2 linked regions of the Oryzias latipes genome follow. The protein of the gene in region 1 purifies or fractionates together with the protein of each later gene. This does not show direct contact. Links are inferred from orthologs where the notes say so. Each region holds a gene or a part of one and is shown on either strand. Other genes may lie near its edges.

Evidence for each region.
Region 2: the proteins of ncapd3 (region 1) and smc4 purify together in Homo sapiens (co-immunoprecipitation; 3 studies listed by BioGRID and IntAct, with this or other methods). This does not show direct contact. The link is inferred for Oryzias latipes from reciprocal best matches to the Homo sapiens genes NCAPD3 and SMC4.

The regions. Positions count from the first base shown.
Region 1 is NC_019873.2:3,921,134-3,937,152, forward strand, and holds part of ncapd3 (condensin-2 complex subunit D3), read left to right. Parts: intron 1-646; coding exon 647-780; intron 781-2,122; coding exon 2,123-2,195; intron 2,196-2,270; coding exon 2,271-2,396; intron 2,397-3,131; coding exon 3,132-3,384; intron 3,385-4,535; coding exon 4,536-4,574; intron 4,575-5,289; coding exon 5,290-5,373; intron 5,374-5,465; coding exon 5,466-5,542; intron 5,543-5,839; coding exon 5,840-5,974; intron 5,975-6,833; coding exon 6,834-7,054; intron 7,055-8,696; coding exon 8,697-8,888; intron 8,889-8,998; coding exon 8,999-9,096; intron 9,097-9,176; coding exon 9,177-9,286; intron 9,287-10,094; coding exon 10,095-10,202; intron 10,203-13,282; coding exon 13,283-13,397; intron 13,398-13,604; coding exon 13,605-13,700; intron 13,701-13,782; coding exon 13,783-14,021; intron 14,022-15,447; coding exon 15,448-15,527; intron 15,528-16,019.
Region 2 is NC_019871.2:13,483,384-13,500,076, forward strand, and holds the start of smc4 (structural maintenance of chromosomes protein 4), read left to right. Parts: upstream 1-7,996; 5' UTR 7,997-8,040; intron 8,041-8,118; 5' UTR 8,119-8,175; intron 8,176-9,319; 5' UTR 9,320-9,329; coding exon 9,330-9,471; intron 9,472-9,492; exon of another isoform or gene 9,493-9,655; coding exon of another isoform or gene 9,656-9,725; intron 9,726-10,401; coding exon 10,402-10,592; intron 10,593-11,917; coding exon 11,918-12,109; intron 12,110-13,063; coding exon 13,064-13,240; intron 13,241-13,747; exon of another isoform or gene 13,748-13,850; intron 13,851-15,107; coding exon 15,108-15,272; intron 15,273-15,638; coding exon 15,639-15,766; intron 15,767-15,853; coding exon 15,854-15,994; intron 15,995-16,269; coding exon 16,270-16,420; intron 16,421-16,693. Other genes in the region: ift80 (intraflagellar transport protein 80 homolog), read right to left, coding at 3,979-4,047, 4,172-4,282, 6,473-6,694, 7,099-7,135. UniProt on the Homo sapiens protein: Central component of the condensin complex, a complex required for conversion of interphase chromatin into mitotic-like condense chromosomes.

The sequences.
Region 1 (16,019 bases):
CTTTCCACCTTTATCCACCTTTGTCATGGTAGGGAGAACACGTCAATGGAAGGGGGGGGTCATCTAAGATAGCACAAGGGTTAAGTGGGATTTAGCATGTTTTGTGTTTCTACGATAAAACTGTGAGGCCAAGTTTTCAGAAGCAGATGTTTTCCAGAAACTCTCCTTCCTAACTTAACACAGACAGGCATTCAGCCTCGCATAGAAAACGGTCTTAAATGAATCAATCAAATCAAAAAACCTTTTTGGGAAAGAGGGGTGATTAACCACGTCACTAGTGAGGACACGTCATTGCAAAAAAGATTTGTTAATCATAAATGGCGTAATGTCTGATGTTGATGAGAATGAATGAAAAAACGAGGTTTTGTGTTGCAAAATTGTACATCATAAATGATACATAACAGAAAGAAAGGTTTCAGTTTAATGCAGTAAACATCAGAGGAGCTGCAGATGTGTAATCTTATGTTTGCAATGAGGGTTTTTGTGTTTCCTACCAAAAATGCTAACCTTTGTTCTCCTTTTATTCTTACAAAATTTGGTGAATGCAATTTAAATAATTTGTGGTATCCTGACTTCATGTTAAAATGGAAGTTGTGGCATATTTAGGGCATGGATTGATCATGATAACACAATGTTCTTTGTGTAGTCTTTGCGCAGCGTCTTCCATCAGCTGCTCTATGCCATACTGATGATGAATAAAGAGAGTCGAGGGAAACCGGTCCTCCGTGTTCTCAGTCGGAGTGTTTTGGCAATCAGGGATTATGCCATTCAGTTTGTAAGGTGAGAGGTTTGAATTTTTGCTTTGTCTTTGCTTTTAGTATGGTTGGTGTGTGCGCGTGTGACTGGTGGGTAGGACATGGGGTTCCTGGAATAGTTGCAGTAGTATTGGAATTGTTTTATTTACCAAGTGTTTCTTAAATGTTAGAGTAAAATAAATCTATTTAAAGTGATGTCATCTGATGTCCATTAGTTATACTCTTGTTTTTTTACATTCAAGCAACAGTCCTGTAAATCTGAACCTTCATTCTGAAATATATTCCTATGACCACTAGAGGGCAGCGTCTCAATGAAAAAACGTCAGTTTTCTTAAGGAAATTCTTTCAGATGTGAAACATTTTTTACACCAGATCTTTACCACAATCAACTCAACAGCTCAATTGAAACCCTAAACTATTAGACACAGTTTGACTTCATTATTTTTATCTCCTAGAATGCATTTTTCCCTTCCTCCTTGGCAATGTTTTATTTTCCTTCTCTCACGCTTTCTTTCTAGGCCATTGACTGTATAAGAGAACTGGACTGAGTGACCCCCCCCCCCCTCCCCCTAGCATTCCAAACAGGAAGTACCTGCTGGCTTCAAGAAACCAAAATCCCATAGACTTCTATAGAGAAATAAACTGCTTTTACTCCGGTTATTCTAACTTTCTTGGTCTGATACTTTTTTTAAGCATATTTTTGGATTTTTTGTTTTCTGTTTTGCAAGTCTGAATGAGTATAAACTGACCAGTCAGATACTTCAATAAAAGTAAGTTGACAGATTCTCCCGCTTTCACGTGGTAGGGGTGTGGCCCTCCAACAAGTTCACTCCTGATTGGAGAGGGTGGTCACCATAGAACACGGACTCAGTCCGACTTGGATGTTGTCTGGTTCCAATGAGGTGGCATCCAAGAAATGGCAAATGAATTGACTTGGTTTGGTTGGAGCCAGAAGTAAACCATTTTCAATGAGTGACGTCACACTAGTTTCAGTCCAGTTCTCACATATAGTCAGTGTGCTAGCCTAATGCTCATCTGTTTATTTATACCCGTATCTATGCATCCATTCCCTCTATCTGTTTCTCCTGTTTTCATAGCTCTTTTGTATTTTCCATCCATCTTCTATATGCACCGTTCAGGGTCACAGGGATGCTGGAGCCTTTCCACATCTCCTGAAAGGTGCAGCTGGACTTCATCTTAGGCCATTTATTAGTCCATCACACACAGACAACAGACAATTTAGAGGCATCAACAAACCTATGAAGTGTGCTTTTGCAGCGCCACCAAAGTTAGCAGCGTGTGTGCGCTTCCTTTCTATTATTTCTACAGGATGTCTTTGACGTTTGAACTGTTGAATGTGATTCCAGTCATTTGGTGGAGGAGCAGAGGGAGCTGGCGAAACCTTTCCTGGAGATTCTGCTGCAGCACATCTGCTTCCAGGTCAGTCATGAAGACGTTGGATCAGCTGAGCTGGCAACAGCTCTTTTCACAGGATTCTGCTGTGTCGGCATGTAGATGGTGGAGAAAAGCGAGTACCGAAGCCACGGAGCCCAGGCTGTGGGAATGCTGACATCTCAGATGGAAAATGCAGATTACAGCCGCTTCATTAAATGGCTGTTTAATTTCTCCAGACAACCAAAGGTAAGTGTACAAATGGCTAAATATTATGACATATTTCTGCTCCATGCAGGAAAACTTTGGTCTCTAGCATTTCTGTATTTACAGCACTGTTTTATTATTTTAAATGAAGTTCAGGAAAGACTTCATGATGTAGTGTCCTGCTATTTCACATTGACAGTTGGAACTCAATAGTCATAATATGTTTTTGCAAAGGGGCCTTTTATTTTTACTAGATGGAAAACAGCTGATTTTTAAGGTGATCTTTGGGGGCTGACACTTAAAAAGAATTTAAACCTTTCCAGAAGATTTTAGGACTGACAGGAACTATTTCTGAGTGTTTCTTTAATCAAGTTGTTGTGAATCGGGAGCAGATGAAAAATATCATATTTGTGACGTACAAAATACGCTGAGTGGGTCACAGCTCCCAGCTCCTCTCTATTCTGATGCATCCCCTGGTGAATTGATGTAAACAGAGAGCTCTCAGCAATGGGGAGGGGAAGGGGTGTACAGTTTCTCCATGCCATTGGTCCCACCCAAAACTCGGAGGTGAATTTCTTGTGAACTACTGCTGCACTGCAGTAACTGTCCTAGAAAACACAGGTTTTTTTTTATTTGTGCTAAAAACGGCATAATCAGAATTCAAAGCCCACTGGGAATGATCTTCAGAAGATGATGGAGTGAGACTTTTCTTAGTCTGGTCTCATCACCAGCTGCCGCTAGAACCTCAGTGCTGACTTGTTGCCCTGCTGTCGGCAGATGGTCCATCGACTGTTCTCCGTGGACGTGGTCATGGCTTTGCTGGAGCAGACAGAGAGGCGGCTGGAGGAATCTCAGGATCCGGAGCTTGCCATCTTTCTGCCACAGAGGTTTTTGATCCAGGATCTGCTGTTTGCTCGAAGGATGGATGATTCTCCCACCGTCCAAGGCCACGCCCTTTCTTGCCTGGCTCAGTGTTTGGAGCTGCCCTCCCTCAATGTCACCAGGGCCGTCCACAACCTCTTCTCTGGCAGTAAGAGCATACTTACAAGCTTATAACCATGGGCATAAACTAGAATAACATCATTTGATGCTTTCAATACAAAAATAATTTAACAGTGACTCATCCTCGTAGAATTAAATCTAGATAAAAATGTTCAAATAAATGGAGGCAAAGTATTGAGTATGAATATAATAAATATTTTTTCATGAATTTTATTGAACTGTTCCCTGAAACTGACGTAAGACAATAAAATTAGGGGTGTGTATTGGCGATACGATACGTAACCCGATGTTGAACAGGGAAAAACCCCCCACCAGATAGCTTTATACGATACTGGCAGCAACGTGGCAGTGAGTTTCGTGACAAGACGAGCCCTGTGCTTTTATTTTGACACGCTTAACAGTTGACATCGCACAGGTCTCATCATCCTCTCCCTTTCCCACACTCTCATGGCGCAAAAAACAAGTACTGTCAATTAAATATAGCTTTCTTTTTTAAAAGTGGAAGGCTCCTCTTCCGTCTCCTGGCTGGGCCTTTTCCCCTCGGCAAAGAAACTTTCCAGAGACGTTTGTTTTTTTACTAATTTTACTAGCTGCTGGGTTTTATTTTACCAGTAACTTATACTTATCACGTGACCGAGAATAGCGCCTTGGAATGCGTCAAAAATGACATGGACTGATGTAACAGTAATGCAAGTTATTTATTCTTTCTGTGTGGCCCGGTACCAAATGACTCACGGACCGGTACTGGTCCGCGGCCCGGGGGTTGGGGACCACTGTTGTAGAGGGCAAATAAACTATTATAATAAACTTTAATAATAATAAACTTTATTTGTACAGTTCCTTTCAAAATAAAAATCACATAGTGCTTCACAGTAAAACACGGTTATTACGATATATTGGCGAAACTATTTTTTCCAACACCCCTAAATAAAATGATTTATTGAAGGATATTTAAACATTTGGAGTTTGTTTAGTATTCATCAACACTACAAAATCTTATACCTAATGCTATTCAACCTGTAAGGCAGACTTGGGCGCCTTTTCAATGCTTTTTTTCATGTGGTTTTCCATATGTTTGTGGTTTGTTGTACAGAGTACTTGGACAAACTTAAATAACATTATCATTGTTTTGTTGTCTTCATCCATTGACTAAAGCAGACTTTTATCTTCTATTTTCAGCTGGGACTCAGACGGTGCTGGACAGTGAACTCGCAGGAGGTTTGGGTTCCTTTTGCTTTTTCTTTGTTGCATCGAGGCTTGTTTGAAATTCACTTCACAGCCAAAAAAAAAAGTCAAAACTCTCTGAAGAATCTCAAATCGCTAAAAACATTTGGTACTCCAATCAAGTAAGCCTCTAGTTTATTTGTTTTCATTTAAAAGCAAAGTGCCAACAGATAATAAAACTGAGCCTATTAAATCACACATGATACATAAAAGTTGGCAAGTAATACAAGTTTTCCCATGTCTGAACAGGATCAAGCAGGAGCTATAATAGATAGATAGATAGATGTAGGATCCTCGCACTACTCTCATTTAATGATTAGTGTTCAGGTCTGATGATTTAAAAAAAAAAAGACTGCAGATGTAATATCGACATGTAGGCGGAGCTCCTTTTAGTTCGGATGAGTTGAGAGGCTTGTTGCTATTTGAAAATACAACACGCCATTAATTCATTTATTTTTTAATCGGTCATTAATCTCTGGGTTTATCATAGCGGCTGGGTAGCTCGGTTGGTAAGGTGAGAGGCTAACATGCAGGAATCCTGGGGCAATTACCATATCAATGGTGAGCAGTTAACATCACCCATTCATTGGAGTGGGTCTTTAACAAATGCAGCACCGATGTCAAGACCTCAGTGAAGCTTTATGTCAAGGCCCAGGCTGCTGTTGCTCCTGTTCTAGTAACTGTTGCTGCAAATGGGATTGTGTTGCAGTACCTTCGTGCACGCAGAGCAGCATGAAAAGCCTGCCTTTCAGGACGGTGGAGATCAGCTGTGTTGACGGCTCAGGCTCTGAAGGTGAGATTCTAGCACGTGCAAAGGCTCCGTCAACACTCCTGTGGCTCTCTGTCGACCATCTTGTAATAAAAGACTCTTTCCATGTTTTGTAGCGGCAAAGGCAAACCTGGCTCTTCTTCTTCGCCGTGTAAAGGACTCAAAGACAAATGTCAGGAAGGCAGCGCTGCAGGTGCTTTACTGTTTTTGTTTTGAAATAAAGGAAACTAAAGGTCCACCCTGGTCATCAAAGACCACACCCATGACTGTTTTCCAGCTTTCCCTGTTCCGCTAGCTGCTGCTGAGCTGACTGCAGGGATTCCACAGTCTGGTCATCATCATCATCATCAGCAAGCGGTGCAGGGAGAGCTAGAAAACAGCTGGGTTTGGGTTTTTGATGACCAGGGTTGGTCAGCCAGAAGTGATCATTTCACCCTATAGAACCTTTCTGGACTGACCTTCTTATGTGTTCCTCTGACTACGGTCTTAGGCCCTGCTAGGTCTCCTGAAGCATGGTGTAATTCCCCCAACCTGGGAGAATCTGGAGACTCTGTCAGAGCGCACCAGAGACCCAGCTGTGTCTGTGAGGAAGAAGGCTTTACAGTGTGTTGGAGAGCTGCTCAGTGTGAGTGATACCCAAAAGAAAACCACTTTAAAAACCCTCAAACTTGTACAATAACAGATTAAAACGGTAACTGTGTAAAATCCAATTCTCCTGCCAATGGCCTCTTTGTTTAGTATTTTCTTTGTAAAATGGGTAAAGAGAGATAGACTATCCAAAATTTGTATGCATGTAATGCTGCATTCACATTTCAATGTTAAGTCAACGTACGGACGCGATCTGAGGTCCTGCGGCGCGACTTGGGCGTCAGACGCGGCAAGGTTGGCAAGACAAGGTTTGGGCACGTGGCGTTTTTAGTGACTCGATCAAAGGGTAGAAAAATAAATCCAGTGTGGCCGCTCAATGCGAGGGTTTGTGTCATGAACTTCCATCCATTTTCTTTACCCGCTGGTCTGCGGGGTAGCTGGAGGCTGTGCCGGTTACTGTTGGGCGAAGGCGGGATACACCCTGGACAGGTCGCCCCGCCTCCCCCCTGGAAAGGCTGACTGGAATTAAGTTATGCAACAGTTTTTGCGCGAGGGATGTATAAATGGAAATGCAGTCCCCTCTTTGCTTTTTCTCTTTAACGATGTCACAGAATGAGCGGCGTTGGAGTACAAAAGGAAAAAGCATTTTGGAGGATTGTTAATTTTATTTTTTAAGTCAACAAATGCAGCTTTATTGTGAAAATGAAAAAGCATTTCTGGTATTGACTTATTATGAGACACAAATAATTCCATAGAAAATATGCATTTGAACTAGTTAAACTAGTTGGAGTATTAAAAATCTTCAAAAAGTTACTCAAATAAATGTAACTTGTTACTGCCCATCTCTGGAAATGGGAATAAAAACCTGTTGCCATTGGATGTCCTGTCACTACCAGGCCAAAGCCGAGTGCAGCACGGTCCAGAAGGCATGGCTGCAGGGCGTGCTGCCGGCTGTGGTGGACTCTGAGAGCTCGGTGCAGGAGAAGGCCTTGGACGCTCTGGAACAAGTGCTGCTTAGTCAAGTCAAACTGTACAATGGCGGCCATCACATGGACACAGATCAGAGGCTTACATGGGATCTGCTAGGCTTGTTGTCACATGAATGCAGAAACCTGAGGTAAGAACTGACCAGAACCGGTCTTTTTACTAAGCTAAATCCATTTTCTGTAGTTACAACTACTGTGATGCTCCACTGGTCGATCTCACCATGTTAATTCCCTTGGCAGTACTCTACAACATTGGTCCCCAAACCCTGAGCCGTGGGCCTAATCGGTCCATAGAACAGTTGGGACCGGGCAGCAGAGGGGAAAGAAAACATTCTACACCCTTTTTATTTAAAATCTGATTTTGAAGTTTTATTTTAAAAAGCTGCTGGATTCTCTCCACCACATCTGACACAATCTTGACGGACATCAAGCCGCTCTGTCATGCGTTAAAAAATACAACCATTACGTTCTAAAAGTGGCTGTTCCGGTGCTATATCATGCTATATTAACCCACTAGCAAAGTTAACAAAGACAAACGTATTTGAAAAGTTTCTTTTGGCAGAAAAGATGCAAAGAGGAAACAGAAGAAGAGCCTTTAATTTCAAAATAAGAGAACTGCATTTAACAGAAAAAACAGTCTTTCCTCCAAATATGGATTTATTACAGCCGTTGTTCCCACACACTATAATATTAATGTCTAATGATAATAATAATTATTATTATTATAATTATTATTATAATAATTAATGTCTAATGTTACCAGAAAGCTGCTAATAAAGTATTTGAAATGGTAGATTCACATTTATTAATACTTTTACAAAATGGCTGTTTTTGTGACCTATTTATTTTTTTAAATGTATTTATCCGTCTCATCATAAAAGTCAGACCCCCCCCCCCCATTTCTTTTTATTAATTTTTTTTCTTTTTCTTTATGAAGGTTATGGGTTAAAGGAAAATCTGTGGCACTTTACTGGCTGCCTTAAAAGAATCATCTTAAAGCCCCAGTCTGATCTTTTGATCCATTTTAAGATTGTTCCCAGTCTGTTTTTATTTTATTTTATTTAGGTTTTTTGTTTCATTTTTATATGGAATTAAAAAAAACCTGTAATTTTCTATAACATAGTTTTTGCAGAGCGTAGGAGTTTATCAAAAATGTTCCCTTTGAGATGTGGGCGGGACTGTTGGTGTTGACTGAGCCCGCCTTCATTTCCCATGATCCTTCTGTTTACACTCACACTCCTGCTAGCTTACAGCCCCCCGCACACCTCACAATTATCTTTAGCAGTGCAACAAAAATGGTGGTCAACATCAGATCTATCCAGCCGTCCAGTTCTGATCCAGATTCCAGCTCAGACCCGGAAAATAAAGAAGTTCATGGATCTATGTGTCTGACAGTGGATGATCAGAATGGAGCAGAGCAGGGGGACTGTGACTTGCAGGTTGCAGCTTTTCCATAACCACAAGCTTTCTACAACTACGTTTTTTCATCTACACCTTATTTCAGAACAATGTGAATGAAGAAATGCATTTGTGAGCTTAATTTTCTTTACATATGTCCTCCACTATGAGAAAAATCCTATATGTTAAAATCCCCATTAACAGCAGAGTGGGTCCTTCAATGATCTGTATCAACCACAGCAAACGGGCTGTGGTTTGACCAAAAGCAAAGCTATATAGACCTCAATTTAATGTGAGTGTGTCTTTACGATCACATCAGTCTATTTGCCAGAGAAAAGGAGATGGAGACTAATTGTAACATTTCTTTTGTTCCAGCCGTTATTTTAGCAGAGCCTTCACCATTTGGTCGAAGCAGAACAAGTTCACGCCGGCTTTCATCACAAACCTGATGTCACACTTTAAGGCCGATCATGCTGCAGGGGCCTGGCTGCTGCTTTCCAAGGTCGCCACTTCATGTCCCAAAGTCCCATGTGGCAAAATCCTGGACTCGTGGGACGCATCGATCAGGCGAGCACGAGTTTTACCTGAATCATTTCCAGACATTTTGGTACTGGTCATTTTTGATGATCCAATTGTGTTTGTTTAATTACCCAAAAATCTACTTTATATTCTTGCAGATCAAGAGATGTCGACGTGACAACCTTCTGTCACATTCTATCTGTTATGGGAGACGTTGCAGTTCATTTAAATGATGATACCAAGAACAGGATAGTTGGTAAATGATTGTGGAAAGGCGATAGACTTCACTAGAAGAAGCTGGAGAATGATGACCCTCCCTCACTTTTCTTCTTTCAGAGGATCTAATGTCTTTGTTGAAGAGTTTCACTTTGTCTCTTGAGTTGATCAGCACAGCCGTGCAGACTCTTTATCAGCTTGGCTGTCAGGAGAACATCAAAGAGACCCAGGTTTGGAAAGAAACCTTGTTTTAAAAAATATGTATTCGTTTTTGTTTACTTGTCGAACAAGAAGTGCGAGTAGCCAAAAGTGAGGGTCTTTCTCATCATACTTGGCTTGTTGTCCAAGTTAAAAATGAGAGTCCAGAGTCCAACTAGACAGGAAATATCATCCATTCATTTTTCAAACCCAATGAAGCCCTGTAAGGGACACGGGGTTGCTGGAGCCCATACCAGTTATTGTTGGGCAAAGGTGGGGTACTGAATAGGTTGCTGGTCTGTCACACAATCACTCACATTCACACCGAATCTCTAGTGGCATTCTGAAGTGGTTTTTCTGCATCGAGCCTAGCTGGTTCTGTGGGAGGAGGCACAGCCACCAGGTCCCTGCCTGCAAGCCCAAAAACATAATCATACAAGAACATATTCTCTTGACAAGAATCACTTTGGCTCTCAACCACCCAACCACAGTAAGATGACAGATAGATCATGGAGAGATTGAGTTGTTACCAAGTGTTTGTGTCACTAGTTTGGTGGGTCTGTTGTGGTAGGCATCTGTCTCCCCCTTGCGTTGTGACTCGTGTGTGTGTGTGTGTGTGTGGATGTTGTGCATTATGTTCATCTGAGTTGTGTTTGTGTCCATCTGTGTCTTTGATGTTATCCTCACATTATCACAACACTCTAAGCTCATATTCTGTTATCTGTTTTTTTAAGTTTCATGGAGTTTAACATTTCTTTCATATCAAAAATGTTTACTTCGTTTTTTGTCAAACTGTTAAACGTTTTGCATTTGAGGACTTTTTGGGTTTCTTGTCTTCAGGCCTTCCTAAACCAGCACTGTGGCGAGCTCGTGTCTATTTGTGAAGCTTATTTATCCGCTGTCATCCTCAATGAAAATGGAGCCCAGGACCTTGATGAAGAGCTCATGGTGAGCAGGCTTTTCCCTCTTATTCAACCACACTCCTGTCATTGCAAGTTGGTGGTCACTTGTCCCTCACCAAAAATGATTTTTCTTTTTATTTGTTGAATCAAATTACACTCGGATACAAAAGTTCTCATGGGGATCCAAAGCTTCTTTCTAAAAGATACATCAGTCTCTACGTTCTCTGCTGTGGACTTGCGTCCTAGAACAAAAAAGTTCTCAAAGGGTTAACTGAAATATTTGTGGTTCCAAAACAGTTTCTCTGCCCTCACCTTCTTTTCTCCCAAACACACTTAGCAGACACAACCACACCTGGCTGCAGGTGCATAAAGGTGATGGCCTTATGAGGGCATAGGCAATGCATCCATTATTCTACCTGCTAAATGATATCTTCACCTTTTGCTCTAACAACCATGGTCCAGTCAAGTCAAAATAAGTGTGCATGGCTTTAAAAAAATTATTATTTTTAAATATGACTTGAAGTGACTCACTGAAGAGTTAAATTTCTAGAACCGCTCTACCAAAAGAATTTCCTATGACTGCCGTCAACCATATTTTTAACCTTCTGTAATCAGCTGGTCAGAGGGGTTGTACTAGGGCTGGGCGATTAATTGGATTTTTTTAAACGATTTATTTTTTTGGAAAATCTAGATTTTAGTTTCCCAGCTATCTGCTCTCTTGCGTTTCCGTTGTCTGGAGTAAAGTCAGTCCGTCGGTCTCTCTCAGAGCGCAGATGTGGAAACAGCAGCAAGCAGAGAGGAGCTTCTTCCATGAGGCGGAAAAAGAAAACACTAGTGTTAGAGACTTCTGCTAGATGCCTCCTGTAGCTTCAGTTTAAGCTGATGAAGCAGCAGAACATGATGATTTATAACAGGATCTAGAAAGAACTGGAGGAAAAACCTGTTGAAATACAGCAGCAACAGACAGCTGTGTGGTTAGACTACGATACTACGATGCTTAATGCTAGGATGCTAAATGCTATCGAGCTGCTCCGGTTTAAAGTCAGACTATATTTTCACGGAGTGAACTTTAAGACGTGGAGAATAAATGAAACAAAAACCATTCATAAAACATTTATAAAACTTTTTTTTATAAATTTAAGAAGAGACACTTTGTATGGAACTTTATTAGTAGTGCCTTTGTAACATTACAGAGCCGGTGTTGAGCTAGAAACCCCCCCCCACACACACACATACAGCAAAGAACAAAAAACTGTTCATCAATTGTTCAGAGAAATCACCAGGGGGGATAAAAACACAAAATAAAAATATTAAATTATCAAGCTGAGCAAAATGACACGTTTTAATCGCTTTTTTTTGTACTGGGGGAAATGGAATGACATTACAGACCAAAGGTTTGTACACCCCTCATTCAAATGAATGGAAAGGTGTGTCCAAACTTTTGGTCTGTACTGTAAATAAAATCTAATTTGGGCTAGTAAATCAACAAAATTGGGAGCTTTATTTCCAAATTTAGTCTTTTTGTGAATATAAGACTTGGTTAATAAAATCAGAAGATTTATTAAATAAATTGAGATGAAATTGTATTACCATAATTAACAAAACCAAATAAGATATTTTTCCAAGTTAAAGTAAAATGTGTATAAATTTCAGTTTTTATCAGGTTTGTTAATTTATCCCATAGTTTTTCCATGTATCCATATTTTCACGACCATAGGGCGCACCAGGTGTTAAGGCGCGGGCACGTTAACGCCCCTTTCGGACCCTCAGAGCCTCCAGAGGGGTTTGATAAAAGATCCAGTCTCTGTTCTTTAGAGGAAACCTTTTATTTATTTATTTTTGTACCGTTCTCCCTAAACTTTGGAAAAGACTTAATTATATCTATCGCTAATGAAATTCTATCGCTAATATCATTTTTTAATATAACACCTATAGTTTTTCTTTGTAAAATAATGGAATCATTTGCTTTTTATCTACTGGTCATCTTGTCTGGTGAGTCTAAAATGGGATTTTGGTCTCTGGAGTTGTGACTTCAAACTTAGAGCATCAAACCACAAAGAGCAAAATCCCTTTCATGGTTGTTGCTACCAGAAATGCTCTGCTGAGTGCGTTCTAGTATTTCTCTGCTGCTTTGTTCTACAAACATTTTTACAGCTTGGATTTAGTTGAACTTTGTATTAGAGCCAATTTATAAAGAAGAAGTTAACATAAAATAAATTATGTTAAATATATTACATCTTTCGAATGTTTGAAGAAATAAAAGCAGGGGAAAAATGGATTATAATCGAATTTTGAATAAAAAAAAATCCGAGATTTAATTTTTTGGCCATATCGCCCAGCTCTAGGTTTTACACATTTTCAGTCTGTTGGAACATGTAATCTTAAACATTAGCAATTCAAAATGAAAATGAGTCCACCAATGTGCATTTTCCACAGAGGGTCTGTTGACCTGCATGACATCTACTCTACTGGATCAGCTACGAATGACATCTTCTGATTATAGCGGAGATTTGGGAAATGTGTCAGTGAGAGAAAATGTTTAATGGGAGCTAAAGAACACAATTACAGTAGCTACATGGTTATGAAGCGAACCACTGGTTAGAAAAAAGACATTAGAGTAAAATTATCCTGCTTTTCACTCATTACAGCTTGACTATGGCTGTTTGGGTTTTTAATCCAGTGTTTTCCAACCTTCTGTGAGCCAAGGTTCCCCTTTTTTTTGAAAAAGATCACAAGGCCTTAACCAACCAAAACTGGAAATATAATGAGACTCTGTTGTCTGTATCAACAATATACAGTTATTCTTATCAGAATTTAAAAAAATCAAATAAGCAAAAAGAAAGAAGTACTTTATGATTTATCGTAAATGTTTTTTGACCAAATTGGGTGAAGTTGAATAAGTTCCTATGGCACACCTGATGATATCTCTGTAGTGTATTCTGTATTCTGTTCAGTCTTTATTCTGGAAAACATTTTATTTTGTAAAGTTGACCAAATGTGAGCAAAATGTGTTTAGAATTTAACATTTGTAGCTTAAGTAGGAGGGAAAGAACTTTTTACAAATCTGTCAGAATGAGTGATTTTTTTTTTTTTTTAAATATTTGTTTATTTATTATTTGTTTTTAGATAAAGCATCTCCACACTCTGGGTGTGGCATCACTTCAATGTCCGGCTAAAGTGAGCAAGAAGACGGTGCTGGTGGTGGAATCTGTGCTGACAGCACATTCTAACAAACTAACAGGTGAGGGCAGCATTTATCTCAGCAGATGTGGAGTTTAAAAGTCACATGTTCCAGCTGTGTTGAAGGAGTTTTCTTGTGTATTCCTTAATGCTGTTTTGGAAAAAAAAATCTAAAAGAAGAGATGGGTTTTCCATTATACAAAGAGGTCCTAAAAACAATTGGGAAACAAATCCCATATATGGTTTAAATTTTGTTGAATTTGAACAGATTGCCAGGATGATCTGCCAGCTTCACTGCCTCTGTCTCAGTTCAAAGTCAACGCTTTACCCCCCCGAATCAAAGCCCATGGAGTCTTAACTTTAGGTAAAGTCTTCTTCATAAGAACTGCATGCTGCTCTTCGTGTTTCCAATGTTTCATGTTGTGTTTGCGGTCTGTGTGGTTCAGGTAAGCTGTGCCTGCAGCAGGAGGAGCTCGTGCACAAGTATCTGCCAGTGTTTGCCAGAGAGCTGGAGGTCGGCAAAGAGGTTGCTGTGCGCAACAACATCGTGGTGGTCATGTGTGATCTCTGTGTTCGATACACCAACATTGTGGACCACTACATACCTAACATCTCTGCCTGTCTCCGGGACGATGAAGATGTCATCAGGGAGCAGACTCTGATCATGCTCACTAACCTGCTGCAGGTGGGGTTACCTTTGAAACAGTGCTACTCGCAGAGATATTGATATTTACATGAGTGCTTCTCCTGTTTGGTCTGAATTTCAATGAAAAATGTTAGTTTCCTTTGATGCTACTAAGAATGGGAAGAAACACAATTTTTCTACCGTAATTAACAAACATTGAGCATATCGGTGGCGGGTATTCCCACCATTTGCTGCAATGACAGCTCGACAGCGACATGCTCCTCACTAGACTCATGATGTTGTTCTGTGGCACTGCGCTCTTCTACAGGTGCTACATTCAGCTCTTCTCTTGAGGGTGCGGTCTGATCATAAAAAATAAAAATGCGTGGTCACTCCGCTGTGCTCAGCCGTTATGAGGAAAAAAATACAAAAAACAATCTTCACAAAGTGGGTCTTTAAACACAAGCATTTTAAATGTAATTTGGCATTATTGTAGAGCTTTGTTTGACATAAAGTTCTTCATGTTTACCAGTTTGTAAGTTGATCCTTTTCAACTCTTGATGCCGATATTGACAACGATTAAAAGTGACAGTGTAATAGAGTTAAATACAATGTGGTTGAGAGAGAAGGTGGGCGCACCAATCTTTTCTGCTGGTGCACCTAAAGTTAGGCGCACCTGTGCAACCGGTGCAAAAATGTAGTCTAGAGCCCTGCCAGTAGTTCTGTGTCTCGATCATTGACTGTTTAAGAGAACTGGACTGAGTGACCACTCCCCCTGGCAGTGTTGGATACATTACTTCTAAAAAGTAATTGATTACTTTACTTTAGAAACTGGATCAAAATAGTTATTAAATTACTTTACTCATTACTTATTTGAAAAATGAATTCACTACTTCTTACTTGACCAGACATGCAGTCGTGTGCAGCTTAGAGAGAAAAATCAGTAAGAAAGGGTGAATTGAAATAGAAAAAAAAACTCCCGGGAAGGAGTCAGCTCTTGTCTTTCACACCAAGGAGCCGACTTCAGAGTCGTTTTTAGACCCACACAATGTTGACATTGATGCCATAATGAAAAGGTTTTTCTTGTAGAATTATTTGGTTTGGGTCCCAAAAAGTCAGACGCTGAACACGTGTGGAAAACACACAATGAGGTGTGTCTATTACCCTGATACAGTTGTCTTCCGATTAGATTCCGATTTAGAGTTTGGCGTGATTTCCTCAACTTATTGTGAGTAATTTACATTCAAAGTTGTTATTACTCAAGCACCTTCTTCTCTGAAGCCAGTAAATAAAGATGGACACAAAACATGCAACTAAGATGTTGTAAATCTTTTGAATGTTTTCTGCAGATAAAAAAGCATGTTGCTTGTAACAGCTTGTTATAGTAGATGTACATCTAAAATGCTCTTGGGTTTACAGATGTTTTTCAGTGGCAATCTACTGGGAAATCTGTCAGAATGTCCTCAAATGTCTTTGCTCTTTTTAGGAGGAATTCGTTAAATGGAAGGGCTCGTTGTTCTTTCGCTTTATGGCGTCACTTGTTGACCCGGTCCCATCTGTTGCCAGGTATGTGACCTGTCAAGTGAGTGGAAGCTGCAGTGGGTGTGTGGAGTCCACAGTACACTTTTACCATTATTCATGTCTTATATTTCAGGAAAACACTGAAAAGCATGACATTTGTAATATGAGGACAGATATTAAAAATAGCTGTATTATAAATTTCCATTATAAACGAAAAGAAACACGTATTCTATCTGAGAAATATCACACCTTAGAGTATGAAGAGATTGAGACAAGATCCTGTGATGTTTGAGAACATAAGTCAAAAAATGACAGACCAGCATGTTAAAGAGAAGGAAAAAAAACTGGATTTCTGGGAGAAGTCTGGATAAAAAGTGTTTAAGATTCAGTGGGGGACTTGGTGTACCTGTTTCTCATCTACAAGTAAAATGAAGTATTGTGTTCTTTAAAGACTTTACAAGGAAGAGGTAAATGGACCGTAAGAAGAGGTCCAGAGTCTAAAAATACTACGGGGAGTTTTGTTCACAGCCAGGAACA
Region 2 (16,693 bases), on another chromosome or scaffold:
CCTCACTCCAGGTGCATGTGGTTTCTCACAAATGCCAACTGGTCACATGCTCTAAATCTGACAAAGGCGATGAGAGGGGTTGACACAAGTTCCTACTTCTCGCTCCTTTCCAACCTCTTCTTGGAGCTCAGACGTGATATGGGTCATATGCTAACCAAAAAGAAACAATGTGCTCATGCAGTTTGCATGTGCCAGTATGTGTGCAGACGCAGGTTTACCTCAACATTTCTTATACATAGCATTTTTTCTAACACAAAATAAGCCAAAATTGGGTGCTGCTTTCGGTTTTTAACAGGATGCAAACAAAACAAAAAAGTACACGTAAAAACTGGATGTAATTTTAAACAGGCTGTTTTTTTTTTCTAAAAGCAGAGAGAATGTCAAAGTTCAAATCAGCAACTGGCACCACTGAGGAGGGGCTTAAAAAATGAAGTCTCTAACAAACGGCAGCACCTGCAGTGATCTGGGCGCCTTGTGCTAGATTTGATGTTTTAATGAAAAGCAATGCTTCTAAATCTAGGTGTTATGCAAATCTGGTATTTTCTGACCATCAAGCAGCTCATTTCTTAAGTATTAACCAAAGGAAAAAAGTCTCTACCGGTACTTGTAGCACTTTTTTCTTTTTGACTGTTTTTTTTTTTTGCTAGGTTATTAAAAAACATCTTATTCTATTTCTTAGTGGTGTTTCACTTCTTTAAAATTCTATCTTTTTTTAATAATATATCTCATAATAATACATTTAATGGGAAGCACCTTATAAGTCACATCAGGGGGCTCTACACATAAAAGCAAGATTACTCAATAGAAGATAGTGTTTTTCAAAGGATCACACATGTTATAATCTTGGTGAAACCGCTTCTGTTAGAAGGTTGGTTTAAACAGATGGGATTTGAGTTGAGATTTAAAACCAGGGAGAGAGTCGATGATCCTGATATTTGGGGGGGAGGGAGTTTTAAAGTTTAGGAGCACATTAGCTGAATGCTCTGCCCCCTCTCCCCATGCTGCAGAGACAGATAAAAGAAACAGTCAGGTGAAGGGAGGACGAAGGTGAGGGTACAACAATGTTGAGGAGATTGAGGTCAAAGATGGTCTTTACAGGTGAACAGCGGGAGTTTGTTGTCAAATCTGAATTTGGAACAGGGTGTAATTATACAAGCGTTTGAGTTCTGGACCGGTAAAAGCTTGTTGAGGGGTTTGTGGGTTAGAGGAGAGAACTTCGGTCGTTGATGCAGCTGGTGATGGAGCTGAGGACCAGGATGAAGGCTACTGATATTACACAGATAAAAATCTGCAGACCAGGTGATATTGTTGATGGGATTACTAAATGAAAGTGTATAGCCCAGAATGACACACACGCACACACAACTTTTACTTGAAAGACGGAGACAACTATGGAGTTATTACAGTATTCTTTAACACATTTCTTTTAATATGGAAATTATATTAAGATTATAGGAGAAAAACAAGAACTGAATTGAACAGAAACACCCAAATGTGTGATGAATTCAAAAATATTACCTGTGTGCAAGTTTAGAAGAGAGGAGGGGCAATTTCAAAAAGTTTTGAAAGAAAAAAAACTACAATTTCATTAGAAATGAGAAAGCAACATTTAATAATAAAAACAATAAAATTGATGAAAAAACATGTTTTGTTCTTTCCTACTAAGCCTTTTCTCCTTAAAGTAAGATCAAAACATGCACACACACCCTTCAAAGTCTTTTTCTTTGACCAATAGTTTCAATCTGCAAACTTCTGTTGTTGATGTAGAGGCATTAATTGGATTTTTTTAATGCTATCATTATATTTTTGGAAAAAAATTAGTAAGAAAGTGCATTTGAGTATTAATGTTAAAGAACAGGGGGTACCAAAATTTCTCTAAAGAAGTAGACATAAAAAGTCACCCCTTATCAGTTCTAATTGTTTGAGATCCAACAGGAATAAAATGAGAAAGTCGGGCTTTGCCCTATTTCTAAAGATACTTTCACACTTTCATGCTGCCGAAATTCTGGAAAATGTGTGGACAATTACGTTTGGACATTGTCCAAAAAAAGGATATTCAAGTGTGTACTCAATAGCATTTTCTGGACGGGCACGTTCACATCTGGAAAGAATATGTAGTGATGGAAATCAATGCATTCATTTGCCAAGAAAAGTAGATAAGGATCAGAGGAAGGCTGTTTGTGTCTGTGATATAACCTCTGGAGTTCTGATGACATGGTTGTCCAGGTAGACTACAGTATGCAGCAGCATATGCTGTGGACAGAATCTCTAAAATATCTACACATCTTTCATCTGCATCCGTAAATTTAAAAAAAAAACTTCCTTTTTTCTTCTTCATATAGTATTTGCATTGAGTTTAGTATTAGCAAAATCCTAAGGAAAATTGCCACTTTGTAAATAGGCTTTTGCAAGGTATTCAGCAAGGTGTTGGTATTTCTGGCACATCAAAAGTCAGGCGTCACATTTTTCTGACACCTTAGTTGACTCTAGAATACTTGGACCTACAAAGCAGGTCATAGAGTAATCAGTAAAGAACTCAGGGCCCTTGGCTGCAAAACAATCCCAAACACGGTTCCTCCAATCCTTCCACCAGTGTGCTGGACAGTTAATTAATGTCTTTCTGTTGCCCTGCTTCATGTGGCGTTCAGCAAATGTGGCAATGAGTATTGCTGTTCCGGAAATCTTCAAATTTGTCTAAATGAGAGTTTTGCAAACTCAAGCTTTGATACAGCGCTCCTTTTACAGAGAAGAAGCTTTCTTCTGGCAACCATTACATATGCGCCATATTGGTTCAGTCTTTTCCAGCTTGTGCTGTAATTAACTTTTTGTACTTGATATTTCTTTTCTTTTTATTTCCACAATAATTAATTGTGAAACATAATGACTCGGCTTTTAAATTTCAGTTAAATGTTTTAAAGTCCAACTCTGATCATCTTTTGATCTATTTTAAAAGTGTTCCCAGTGGTCTTTTAATTGCAGTTTTTAGCCAAAATCACAAAACCACAAATGTTTTCTGGGGCACAGTTTTATCGAAGAGGCAGCGGATCATTAGAAATTCAACTCTAGGCTTTCAGCGGGACCGTTGGTGCAGAGTTCATCCATCTGTTTACACTCTCCCACTATCTTACAGCCCTTGACAACCTTAACCTGACATTATCCGTGTAACAAAAATGGCGAGCAATATGGGAGCTGTCCAGCCGTACAGTTTTGATGCCAGCTCGGATGAGGAAAACAAAGACGTACATGAATCTATCTGTCTGCAAGTGGAGGGATCAAAATGGATCGCCCAGCTTATTTTCTACATCACAAATACGCTCTCTTTGAAACTGCATTTTTTCATCTGCTCTTGATTCACAACTGTTTGAATAAAGAAACACTCTAAAGTACAATTTTAAGCTTAGGTTTCTTTATATGTGGCCTCCATCATGAGAAAAATGCCTAAAGAACATGTTAAAAACACCAAAAACACATATTTCATGGGAGTGGGTCTTTAAACATCCAAAATGTTTTCTACTGTCATTCTAATAAGATATACCTAACTGCGATCTCTTCAGGTGGTATGGTAAAAAAGTTCTCCAAGTTTCTGGGTGACATTTTGCTTTTTATGAACAATCAGCTTTTGCAACTGGTCATCTTCACAAGATTTTAAATGGCTGGGATTTTGCAGACACAACACTTAGTTATGTCTTGAGTTTGTTGTCTTTTCTATTTGATCTTTCATAGGTTGATCAAGCAAAAGGAACAAAAATAAAAAGAAACCTGTATAAAAGGTCAGCTAAAAGAAACGGTCAGATTTCAAGTATGAGGGAAGTCCAAGAAAATGTGGGATAAGAAAGACGAGCTGACTTTTAGGCAGTTCTTCAGCATTTTAGTTGTTTTTACATGATCTAAGAGCTGTATTTCGAGTTTAATTCTGCAAAGTGCATAAAATTAAGTGGATAATAGGCTGTAAAACTAAGACAAAACAATTAGCCTTACCTTGGTTGGCTAAAGTTGAGCGCAGCATCCCAACTTTTGACCAGATCTTGATTAGCCCATCTTCTCCAGCTAAGAACCATAGAAAGCAGCATTACTTTAAAAAATATTAATGTGTATTGAATATGTTTCTTTGTCTAAAATTGACCAAATATTTATTATACTGCAGCTGTGTATGCGTTAGCGACATCCAAACCTGTAACAAGAGCAGTTCCATCGTAGTTCCATCTTCCTGCTAAGACTGCACCTTTGTGAGCGTCAACACTCTTCTCAATGCGCCCCATCTTGGAAACCAGGTGGAACTTTCCTTAAAAACAACCAAAAAAAAGAGTTGACTTTATTGTGACACTATTCTTCAGTCCACGTTTGCCCTGATGCAGACGAGTACGATCTAATGACTCTGTCCAAAACTGATTAATGCAGTGTTGCACCAATACATCTTTAAATGGGAGAACAAAATGAATTAAGTCAACATATTAAACAGATGAGCAACATACATTTGTCAAAACAATGTTTTAAAAGCACACATTTGAAAAAGAAAAAAGGAAAAACTGCAGATCCAAAATAGTTACTTGCAATTAATAGATGAATAAAGAAAATCTTTACTTTAAAAATACTTCAAATGAATTAAATTGAAAATTCCAGATATGTAACCAGGGCTGCAGGACTGTAGCATGAAAACGTTTCTTATAGATATTTGAGAAAATGCTAAAGATCAATAACAGACTGATCCTTTTGCTAAATGTGTCAGGGCTCACAGTAGTTCAAAAAATGATTGTCATGCATTTCCCTTCTCATATTTCATGTAGTATTTATGGCAACAGCTATTTGTCTAGCTTGTGTAAACTATACTAAAGAAAGCAAGAGAAAGAAAGTTGCAAAAGGGAATCGCAACGAGTCTCTGGCATGCCAAAGTAAATTGCTGCATCCGTTTTGCAATTCAACACTGCCATTAGAGTTGTGACCACATATTGCCTACCACAGCAGTCCAATCATGCTCTTATGTGTTCATATCTACCGTAACATGCATGACACACCTTGGCACTGTCTGGATTGTTGCCTTTAGTGACAAACCAAGTCATCCAAAGGCAAATGAAACAGTATGGTATCCTCAAACTAAGGAATACAGAAATTAACCATTGTGTATTTACCCAAAAAGTATGAAAATTACTATCATTTGCTCAAAGTAGGCAACATCAAAACATCTATGTTGCATCATGAATGACACTACACTAATTTTTGCACTAGTTGCGCTGGAAACAATTTATTAAGTAATGAGTGCAACTGCGGATTCTCACATCTTTATAAAAGTTGAAATGTTGAAATAAATGACTTCTATGGGGTTCCTGAGGAAAACTGTTGGTAAGAAGACAACTGACTGCTACTAATTATATAGTTGGTAACATTTTTAGGGACATAATCTAACAAAGCCCTACGACAACCTGTCCAGGATGTCCCCTGTCTTGGCCCACGAGTGGCCAGGATAGGCTCCAGCAGCCACATGACCCAGAAAGGGACAAAGCAGATTTAGAAGATGAATGAGTGAGTGAATGAATGAATGAATGAATGAATGAATGAATGAATGAATGAATGAATGAATGAATGAATGAATGAATGATCTAACAAAAAGAGCATCTAGGAGAGGCAGGGCTCACGAACCAGTAGAACTGGGATTAAAAACAATCTGAATTTCAGAATATCCTTGCAATAAAGTTATTAAGTATTTGAATATCTCATCATCCAGCAAACACAAAATCATTTCTGTAAAAAAGATAAAAATAAGATAATGATTGCTAGATGCCCGGGATCTTTGGGTTCATTGGTCGAATTACAGAACAGGTATGATTCATGAAGGAACAAATGTAAAAACCGATATATAGGAACATATGCTGTCAAAAAATGAAAAGGGAAAACTGTTCACAGCAGTTTGGGTTTCAAAAGCAACATTTTTTCGTGTAGACAAATTATTATTTACACCTGACGAATTCAAATTCAACATCCATAATGATGGAAGCAGCAGAGATTTCTGCAAAAAAAAAAAGTTCACGTCTCTAAAAAAATTATATTTCAGGCAGAGCAACTTTTTCTTCTACCCACAAAACTTCTTTAGCATAAAAAGTCTTGCATCTTTCAGGAACATAATTCTAATCAACATGCAGTTTCGTCATAAAAGCATGGGCACTGAAAAAAAACATTTTTTGGTTTTGGCCAATCATCATTGAAACGCATCTGGCACATTGCGAAACGGCAAATGGAATTTTTATGCAGTGAAGTCCAAGTTTAATATCAGATAAAAATGCATTTTATTTTCATGGATTGAAGTTTAAAAAAAAGAGTCACAGCATGGCTGGTTACTTAAAACTTTTTACTATCCTGCAGTATTTTGTAAAATAAATAAATATATTTAAAAACGGCTGATTGAGTCTTTCACAACTTGATATGGACATACTGTTCATTTGCTTTTTAAGATGCAGAGTGGGTTTTATAAAATACTTGCCATCAGTGCTGGTGAGGACAAAGATTTCAGCTTGGGTTTGTCTCTTCCCACCAACAGTTTTGGGGAACCAGTGCATGTCCAGGGGGTAGATGTCCTCTGACAGCTTGACGACCACATTGGTTTCATTGTTCACCAGGTTCCACTTGAGGATCTGATGATCATCACTGCATGAGTACAGCTCATCGGCTGTGGTCCAACCTAAACAACTTACAAGATCCTTATGTGAGCTGGTGTTAAGAAAAATAATAAAAAAAAGGACAAATATTACAAATTCAGCTGATTGCATGTTTTCTACATAGATACCTAGAATCTGGAGAACCTGCCCCCAACCCCTTTATTTATTTTATTTTTTGTTTGTTTTGTTTTGTCTTCATTTTTTTCAGTAGAAAATGCAAATGACAAGGTTTATCATTGCTGCAGTGGTTCTTATCAGCAGAAATTTATTTTAGTTTGCAGAAATGTAGGACAGAAAATAATTTAAAAACAATCTTAAATTGAAGAACAGCAATAATACTATTAAAACGGGAACGTGAAATGTCACAGTTTTCAAAATATTTTGCCATTCAGCTCAAATCAAAGGCAATAAGTTATAAAACAAGAGGGATCACGATGCAATTAAAGGATATGTTTTGGTTCCTTCTGCAGCGTAGTTTTTAGTCTCATTGTTCTTGTCTCTCTGTTGAATCCTAAACAAACAAAACACACGTATGTCAGTTTTGAATCAACTCTTAAGTCAAGCTTAACATTAGAGGAAAATCCAACAAAGAGAGAAAATGCACCAACACCAAACAAGCGTCTAGTTGCTATGTTACCAGGCAGCCACTGTAGCTAACTAACTAAAATCATTACCTTTTAAAATCGCACGGGGGGCATTCTGATGACCGCACTTCTTTTATGTGCCTCTTATCAATGTGTGAAAGTCATTTGATATAGTTCGAATATTCGATACAAATGAACCAGGTCAAGCAGCGTTGATGAAGAAGCGTTTTGTTTTCATGACGTATGGAAGCTAACTTTTTAGCCATGAAATCTCGGATGAGTGAACGGTTGACAGCCAAGTCATCGCGAGAGTTGTAACAATTTGCAACCTCAGCGTGTACTTATAGAGGGTTTACTTTTTGAGTGACTAATACAAATTCATTCAGAAAATGATCTTTAAAGTAGGCTTGCGTTATTACTGAATAATGTGTTGATGATCTCGGTCACTTCCAAAAAATAATATAAACGTTTCCATGGGGCGGGACTTTATTTTACAGTAACCGAATGATTCGACAGTACTGAAAACACAACTCTTTTCTTAAAAGATATCCTTACTCAAAAAATGAAAATCGTAAGTGATGTCTTTTTATGAAATTGTCATTTATCGCTTTGTTACTGTTGCGCCTTTCTTATCACTGGTGGAGCGAGGCGGAGTTGGCTTCGTCCCCTTTTTTGAATTTTGTGTTTTTTTCACACTACCATTTGAAAGGTCCATGATGCTTTGCGAGAGTTTATAACGAATTTGGTTCGACGGCGCAGTTTAGGCGCCATTTACAAGACAAGTTTTTCGAGAAAGGAAGCGGCTCCGGGTGATACGGCACACGATTTTGTGGACTATTTTAGTGTATTTTTTGCTAGACCTTGGATTAACCTATTCTTCTTGAAAGGTTTGGACTGGATCGAAACAGAAAATCAGCGAAGGACTTTTTTTTCATTTGTGGAAGGTACATGAAGAAAAAATAGAAAAAAAATATTTACTGGGTTCCGTCTATTTGCTGAAATTCATAGCGGTCGTTGAAATTGAGACAAACCTTTAAGTAAGCCACAAATCCAACTATGTTTTAAAATAAAGTAAAAGGAAAAAATATAGCATTGGCAGGACATTGATAGTGTTACTACTACTTATTGACTTTTTTTTAGCGTTTTTTAATAATTGCAACAATAATGGATTCTTAACTTAAGCCCCTATAGCATTACTGTTTATATGTTTATTACAACCTATACCAGTTAAAGGTGGTAATATGTCGGTCTGCTCTGTGATGCTAAGTTTGACATAATGATTAGTTAGCACCCCCCCTCCCCCCTGCTAACCTAACTATTAGCCGAGGGAAAAAAAATCGTAGTAACTTTTAATGCGACATAGTCATCCGGTAACAAAACGATTACGAAAACATTCTTAAATCATGCTGCATGTACTGTAGGTTTGGTTAGTTATTCGAATACATTAACAAATCGCGTTAGATGGCCAACTTCAAATTATCATTCCGCCCTGAACATTAGAATTCAGGGACTGAAAGCTAGTTTGCAAGTTCGACTGTTATCTGTTGAGCTGCGCTTTCAGTAGTGGTCATCATAGAAAACTAGCAATTCAAGGCTCGACACGAATTTCTCTCCCTCTTTTTCTTTCTTTCTTTTTTTTTTTTTCAAATGGGTGACGTAAACTTTATTTTCCTTTTCGTTGTTACCCACCGTTAAACGTTAACGGTTAAGGCCAAAAAGCATTTTTCCAAAGTTTTGTAGTTGGCTAGTTTGTAACATTTTTTTACGGGGATTTGTTTTAAAAGCTAACCTTTTTTTGATCCTAGTAGTGTTAAGATGAATAAAAATCGCTGTAACACACTTTTCCATGTTTTTGTTTTTAGCAACTATTTAAACTTTTGGAAGGAAAAAACAAATAATAAACACAATGGTATATTATTAGGAAGGGCGGCAGTAAGATTTGACTGGTAATGGCAAACTCCTGACACATTAGTTGTGTGTGACTGACCGTAAAGTGGAGTTGAGAGATTGACAGACACAAAAACCACTCATGTGTCCCCCCCCCCCCCCCCATTTATTTTTTTATTTTTTTACCAATGACCCCTTTAGATTTCAAATCATGCCATCCAAAACCGCAAAGAGCTCAACCGCCTCTACCAAGCCAAGAGGAAAAGGGTCGCAGGATGTGTCTGAGGGTGATCTGGATGTACCCCCTCAAGAAACTAACTCCAATGGCCAAGAGGAGGCACCACCGACAACTGGCAAGTAACAAAGGCTGTTTTGGTGTCTGTGAATCTAAATAAGTTGTTCAGTCAATGGCTCTGCGTGTATTGCAGTATTGCTAGAGGCCAACTGGCACAGCTGTAAAGCTCCTTCCCCTCCTCTATCTTAAATTGAAAAGAGTAGCTGGGATGGCTGAGACGTTTTCTAAAGTGCAACATAGAAATGAAATCACTCCAGGATGATTTTCATATCGTCGAATGCATTTCTTCGCCCGATCTTGACGGCAAACGAGGTAATTTGCTTCGAAATGGTGTGTTTTTGTTGTGACGTAAAAACGGGATTTGTATTCATCATGCCTGCAACTTTTTTTTTTTTTTTTTGAACAGCGCGTGTGCTGCTCTCAAGATGCAATTGTTGAAGTTCATTGGTACATGAATCTGTTTAATAATTTTTTTTCCGCTAAATGTCTAGCTGCTATACTTTATTTTTGAAACACCGTCAATTCTTTTGTATATATGAGAACACAAAAGATTTTGAACCGATTCTTGAAGATCGTTGTAGATCTTCATGCAGAAAAGTTTTTCCTGTCTGTATTTCATTTAGCTGGGTGTAGTAACGACGTCGCTGATATAAACGCACTTCATTTATCCTGGAGGTGTCCGTGGCGCATCAAACCGGAGAGAGACTGCGTTTGTGAGCACTGATGTGTGCTCGTTCATGTCCGATCCGAGGCTTGACTCTTGCTTTCTGAACAAAGGGGGAAAAAAACGACGCCTGTCAACTTTCCCCGGAGTCGCTTGTCTGTCTGTGCGACTTGCCGACTGTGTTTTTGTTTGTTTGTTTTTGTTCTCCCCCCACCCCTCCCCCATGGGCCACTGTCCCGTCCCTATTACCCCCCCCCCCCCCCCACTCCCCACCTGAAGCGATTCGCACAGAAAAACTGAAAAGTGCCCTTTTCTGTGCCACAGATTCGGCAGAAGGGGAGGCTGCCGAGGCGGTCGATAATCGAAGTTTGGAGGAGATTCTCGGTAGCATCCCTCCACCCCCGCCCCCAGCAATGACCAATGAGCCGGGCGCTCCCCGCCTGATGATAACACATTTAGTGAACCGCAACTTTAAGTCGTACGCAGGCGAGCAGATTCTGGGGCCTTTTCACAAGGTACGACCAAAACTTGATTCTAATCTACCATGTGTCCTGAATATATTTAACTATGTACTTAGATTACATTTAGTGCAGTGACGTGCGGTGAGGTTAATGGCTGGTGAGGCACTGACGTCATCAGTCAGATTTACAAACATATGAACCATACTGATTAATTTATTCTCCATTTGATTGACAACAGTTAAGGTGTTTTGTTTAAAATATCATTTCAACATGTTTTTTTTCATATACAAAACGCAGCATAGAAAAAAGCACAAACATTATTATCGTCTTACCTTTACTTGTAACTAAAGTCCATACGCCGCTCTTTCGGAAGAAAATGACTTGCCGCTTGCTATCACTTATTCTATTATTTTTTTAGCGTCATAATCTCAAGGCTCACCGGCGCCCCCTAACGTGAGGCACGGGAACTTCTGGCCTCACCCAGCGGCTTTTTCGCCGGCGTTTAGCGCTCAGCACAAGAAACACGTCCCTCACATACAGTTATTTATAAAAACAAACACTGTACATCATATACATCTGCTAAATTATGCAAACTCAGCTCATACAGTACAAGTGATTGAACCGACATACAGAGAGACAGCAGTACCGTCTGACTGCATAGGTATTGCGCAATCCAAGGTGAGGCTCAGCGGGCTGGTGCCTCATCGCACGTCACTTCTTAGTATCTGAACGGCAAATGCGGAAATTCAGCGATTTTGAAAAGAAAAAACACCCAAAATTGGTACATTTAAATGGAAAATGACTGCAAAGCACAAATTACTGATTAAATATAATAGTTGAATTTATTTTTTCTCTTTTCTTCCCATGACAGGTGAGGCACAGCCTCACCTGCCTCTCCTGACTGCACGTCACTGATTTAGTGTAACTGTTACTATCCAAGTCTTATTCATTTGATACTATTTTTTTTCTTGTCTGAAATCTTAGGTCACCTTTCTAATAAATGTGTCTTATTGAAATCTATAAAAAAATAAGATTATTAGTAAAAATGTTTAGAGAGAAAAATCCTTAAAAAAAGAGGAAGAAGTCACACTCCTCCATTTTGATTTAGTGTTTCTCTCAGTTTCTGAAAATCTACTGGTGTAATCACATTTAATGAAACTTTTTAAATGTTTTTTTCTTTAAAAAAAATCTTTTTCAGTCGCCTCATGTCCATGCAAGTTTCATATTGCTAAATTTAAGTGTTTAAATCTATATTAGACTTGTGTGTGGTGTCATCGCTGTTACTGACAGCTGTTGTTGAATCTTAATCTCTTGTATGTTTCATATGGATGATGCATTCATTTTTATTTATTTATTTTTGTCTCCTAATTTCTTCCCAGCGCTTTTCCTGCATCATTGGTCCAAATGGAAGCGGCAAGTCTAATGTGATAGACTCCATGCTCTTTGTGTTTGGATACAGAGCTCAAAAGATAAGATCAAAAAAGCTTTCAGTGTTGATTCACAGCTCTGATAAACACAAAGATGTGCAAAGCTGTACTGTGGAGGTGCATTTTCAAAAGATCATTGATAAGGTATACAGATATTTATAAACACTTTTTTTTTTTACACACAAATACAAACTTCACTAAAATGATCAGTTTGTTGTTCAAACAAACAAAAAAAAAATCACCAGAAATATTTTAGTTGGGCAAAAATGAATTTTTAAAATGTATTTGTTCTTTGTCGTTTCTAATGCAGTAATATTGCTGCTCAATTCTTCTTCTAGTGACCAAGTGTAAACTTAAATCAGTTGTGAAAGTTACTGGAACTCCCACACGTGCCACATTTGAGTCATTTTGCCCTAAAATTGATCTGATGGCAATGAAGGGAAAGAGATAAACAAATGCATTTATTGCCTCTGCTTTTTTTCATGGTGGCAAAAAAAAAAAAAAAGCAGTAGTGTTTGCTTTAGGTAGGATGTAATAACAGGCTGCTGTAACCACCAACTGTGAGCTACATTTTCCCCCCAATTAGAAAATTTTTTATAAATTAAATTAGCCATAGGGACTGTGAATTTGATCACACTGCTGAAGCTAAAATGTTGTGTATTTTTTAATAAACATTGATTTGTCTTAAAATTGGCACAAACTGAGAAATCTGTCAGTTTTGTATTTACAATCATTCCTTAAAACTACAGGGTTTTTTCTTTCAGCGATGTGCACACGGCCTTAAATAAATAGCCTTTTTTCTTCTTTCAACTAAACATTTTTACCCAATCCGTTTATCTTTTGTAGTTACAAGTTTAGGAAGCTTACGATGCAATACACTCCAATACACATTTAGTGTTTTATCTTATCCTTTGCCTTTATAGATGTAGTGCATTCTCATAAACAATATTTTATGTGTGTGTTTTTCTATGTAGGCCTTGTTAATAAGTGAATCTGTCAGTGTTGGAACAGTTTGACGTGTTGGGCTGTTTCAGCCTCTCCTGAACTGTTCTGTTCTAAGCTGCTGTGTCTTCTGCCCCTCCCCCCCCCCCGAGCCAGGAAGGAGATGACTACGAAGTCATCCCCAACAGCAAATTCTACGTTTCCAGGACTGCCAACAAAGACGGTTCCTCAGCCTACCATATCAATGGCAAGAAAGCCACATTTAAAGAAGTGGGGGCATTACTACGAAGTCACGGTATTGACCTCGACCACAACAGGTTTCTGATTTTACAGGTAATTATTTAGTGTTTTTCTTGTATTCTTTCCTTTTTTCCTCTTATCCTGCAAGTCCAAAAAACTTTATTTTTTTTTGAATAATCATGCCATTCTGTCATTTATCTTTTTTTATTATTATTTTTTTATTTTTTTTAGTGCAATTCTCAGGTTCTTTTTTGCTTAAATGTTTCTCATGTACCTGTAGGCCATGTCTGGAAATGTCATGGAATATGCTGTGGTGTCATAGAAAAGAACTGGGGAGGGGTTGCCCTCTGCAAGACCTTAGAATGCTGTAGCAGCGCATCATGGTTTGAAACAGTCAGAAAAAAGTGCGAACCATTATTTGCTGCTTTAGAATTTTAAGGAAAAAATGCAAAAAATTGAAATTCTCCCACATAAACCTGAATGTCAGTTGCTAAACTATTTGCTAGCTTAACAGAGTTTTTTTATATTTTTAATATTTTTTTTATTTTAATTTTTTTATTTTTGTGGATCCACTAATGGCGATGAGGTGGACCCTTCCTTTTTCAATATACCTGCTACGCTGTAGCAGCACGTAAATATTGGCGTGTGAAAAAAGCCCCCAACCCCAATATTAGCAGTGCTGCTTCAGTGTGACGGGATCAAACATCCTCTGTTGCCAGGACTTTAACTATCTGTCTTGGTTCACGTTTTGTTCTATTACTGTAATTCATGGTATACTATGGTCCTACATTATTCTTGGTTAAAAAGATTTACGGTAACCAAGTTTAAATCGTCTCACCTGTCATAATTTTCTTCTTAATATTTTAATTTTCTTTTTCATTTAATTGTATTTTTTACCTACCATAAAATAAAAAATAAAATATTGAAAAACTTTTCCAAGAAAAAAATGTAATCTCACTTTATAATCAATTATTTCACATCTTTTTTTTTTTTTTTTAATAAAAAGTGTTGTGTTTTTTCTTTTTTCCTCTAAATCTGCCCGTCTATATTCCTTCTCCTTACACAACCCTGTTTTTGGCATGGCTCCATGACTATGGGAAGAGTCTTGAGCTTGGCTTCAAGGTCACTTTTCCAGACCTTTAGCAAAAGGGGAAGCGGTGTCATTTGTGCTCCAATCAGGACAGAAGGATGTGGGGTTAGATCTCCCTTCTTCCTTGAGCTTATTTGTTTCATCAACATACAGTAATGTCTGATCTACTTTTTACCCTGCATATAAATCAACCCTGGGTTAAGCAAGTGTGTTATATGACAAAAATCAGGTCAGTGATGAGTGTTTGAATTGAACTAGATGTTTTCTCTTGTTGTTTTTGAATTGTTTGCCAGATTACTTAAAGTAGTTTCGTAAAATCTGTGTGAAATCAGAATTGTTCATTTACCATCAAACTTTGACTTTATTAGATTAATTTAAGTAAAAGAAAATACGTTCCACTGTAGTTAAAGGAACTGAAACATGTTTACTGCTACAAAAAATTGTTTCAGAAATATAGCAAAACGGCTTTTTTTTCACAAGAACAATGGCTTTTGAATATGTGTGTGTGTGTGTGATGAGTGCAGGTTTTTGAATACATTTTGGACAGGTAAGCATCATAAGTATATATTTAATTCTTCCAATATTATTTTTCCATCACTCTAAATTTATTTATTTATTTTTCTTCCCTTTCCTGAGTGGAAAAAATGAATTTTGTAGTTTGTTCTGGGGTTTTTTTCTGTGTGGTGTTGCTTTGGGATATCAATGCAACACCAGTTACAATTCAGAATATTTGCCTCATAATTGAGGCAAAGGATAAATATATTTAAAACAAGAAACGACCGAAAGTTAGAATAACTTAGTATTTCTTTTCTCTGTGAGTCAGTTCTGTAGTTCCGCCCTTGCCAATAAGCTTGTCTGGACTGTACACAGGGTGAGGTGGAGCAGATTGCAATGATGAAGCCCAAAGGTCAGACGGAGCACGATGAAGGCATGCTGGAGTATCTAGAGGACATCATCGGTTCTTGTCGTCTCAAGAAGCCCATCCAGGTTCTGGCTCGCCGCATTGAGCTCCTCAATGAACAGAGAGGAGAAAAGGTAACTCAACATCTTTCACAATTGAGAAAACCAATGTTTGTTTTTGTTGTGTCTGAACATGAAGTTATTTAAATCCTTTTTTATGAAAGAATTTGTGTCTCGGGACTGTTTTCATATTTTATTTTGTGCATTTGGGATATTTTTAGGATGACGGTTAAAAGCTGTACAGTGATGGGCTTTTCTAGATTGCGAGCAATTGGCATTTGTCTTGCTAATAAATCTTATATATACAGTTTGTCAATGTTTATAGTCATTTGAATAAATGTTCATGGAATTTTATCAATAAATTCAACCATCTTTTCCTGTTCCCGACCATCTAAAGACACAGTGATGTAGAAATGTTGCTTTTTTTTTTCACTCTCCCAGCTAAACAGAGTAAAGTTAGTGGAAAAGGAGAAAAATGCTTTGGAGGGAGAGAAGAACAAAGCTGTGGAGTTCCTGAAACTGGAGAATGACATCTTCAAACACAAGAGTCAGCTCTACCAGTATTATGTGTAGGTGGACCAGCAGAAGTGTCTCCTGTTATCTGTTTGACCTCTGGAGTTTTGATTTATTTATTTACCTGCTTACTTTCCTTCAAGCCACGACCTGCAGCAGCGTGTGGTGGATAAAGAGCAGGAGAAGCAGAAGATCCTGGAGGAAACTAAAGAGCTCACAGAAAAAAATGCAAAGATATCGCAAGAAATGGAGAAAATGAACGAAGAGCTAAAAAATGTAGAGAAGTAAGTTTTTCTTCCTGTTTATTCTATCATGTTCTTTTTTTTTAGATGCTGTAGTTTAATTATTTATTGACTGAAAGACATTTCTTTAACTGGCAGAGCATGTTTAAAAATAAAACAATCATGTACTCAAATTTGCTTTTTCTAAAAGATAAAGAGAAAATATTTAAATTATTTTTTGTGACACTTTCAGGATTTCATAGTAACTCATTCATAACTCAAGTAATCTCTGTAAACAAAGTGCAGTTCCCCCATGAAAAACGTCTCTCCTCTTCCAGAAAACAAAATAAAATCAACAAGTACATCGAGGCGCAGAAAGAGCAGTTCACCCAGCTGGACCTGCAGGACGTTGAAGTGCGTGAGAAGATCAAACACTCCAAGAACAAGAAGAAGACACTGCAGAAGCAGCTGGAAAAAGAACAGAAGAAGGTGTGTTGGCCTTTATGTTGTATTCCAAAAATACTCTCCAGTTCAATTGCTTCTTTTAACCCAGTGTTGGTCTTTGCTATCCTGCAGTAGATAAATCATGTCATGCTGATGATGTCACATGGGCATAGACATGTGATCTAGAAGGAAAGATTTCTCTCAAGTTTTCCCTCACCTTTATTTCCAGTTTTGCTTTTATAAATACAAAAAACCTCTGGTCCTATACAGTGGTGTTATATCCACATTATTTTGATATTAAAATGGAGGAAAGTGTGT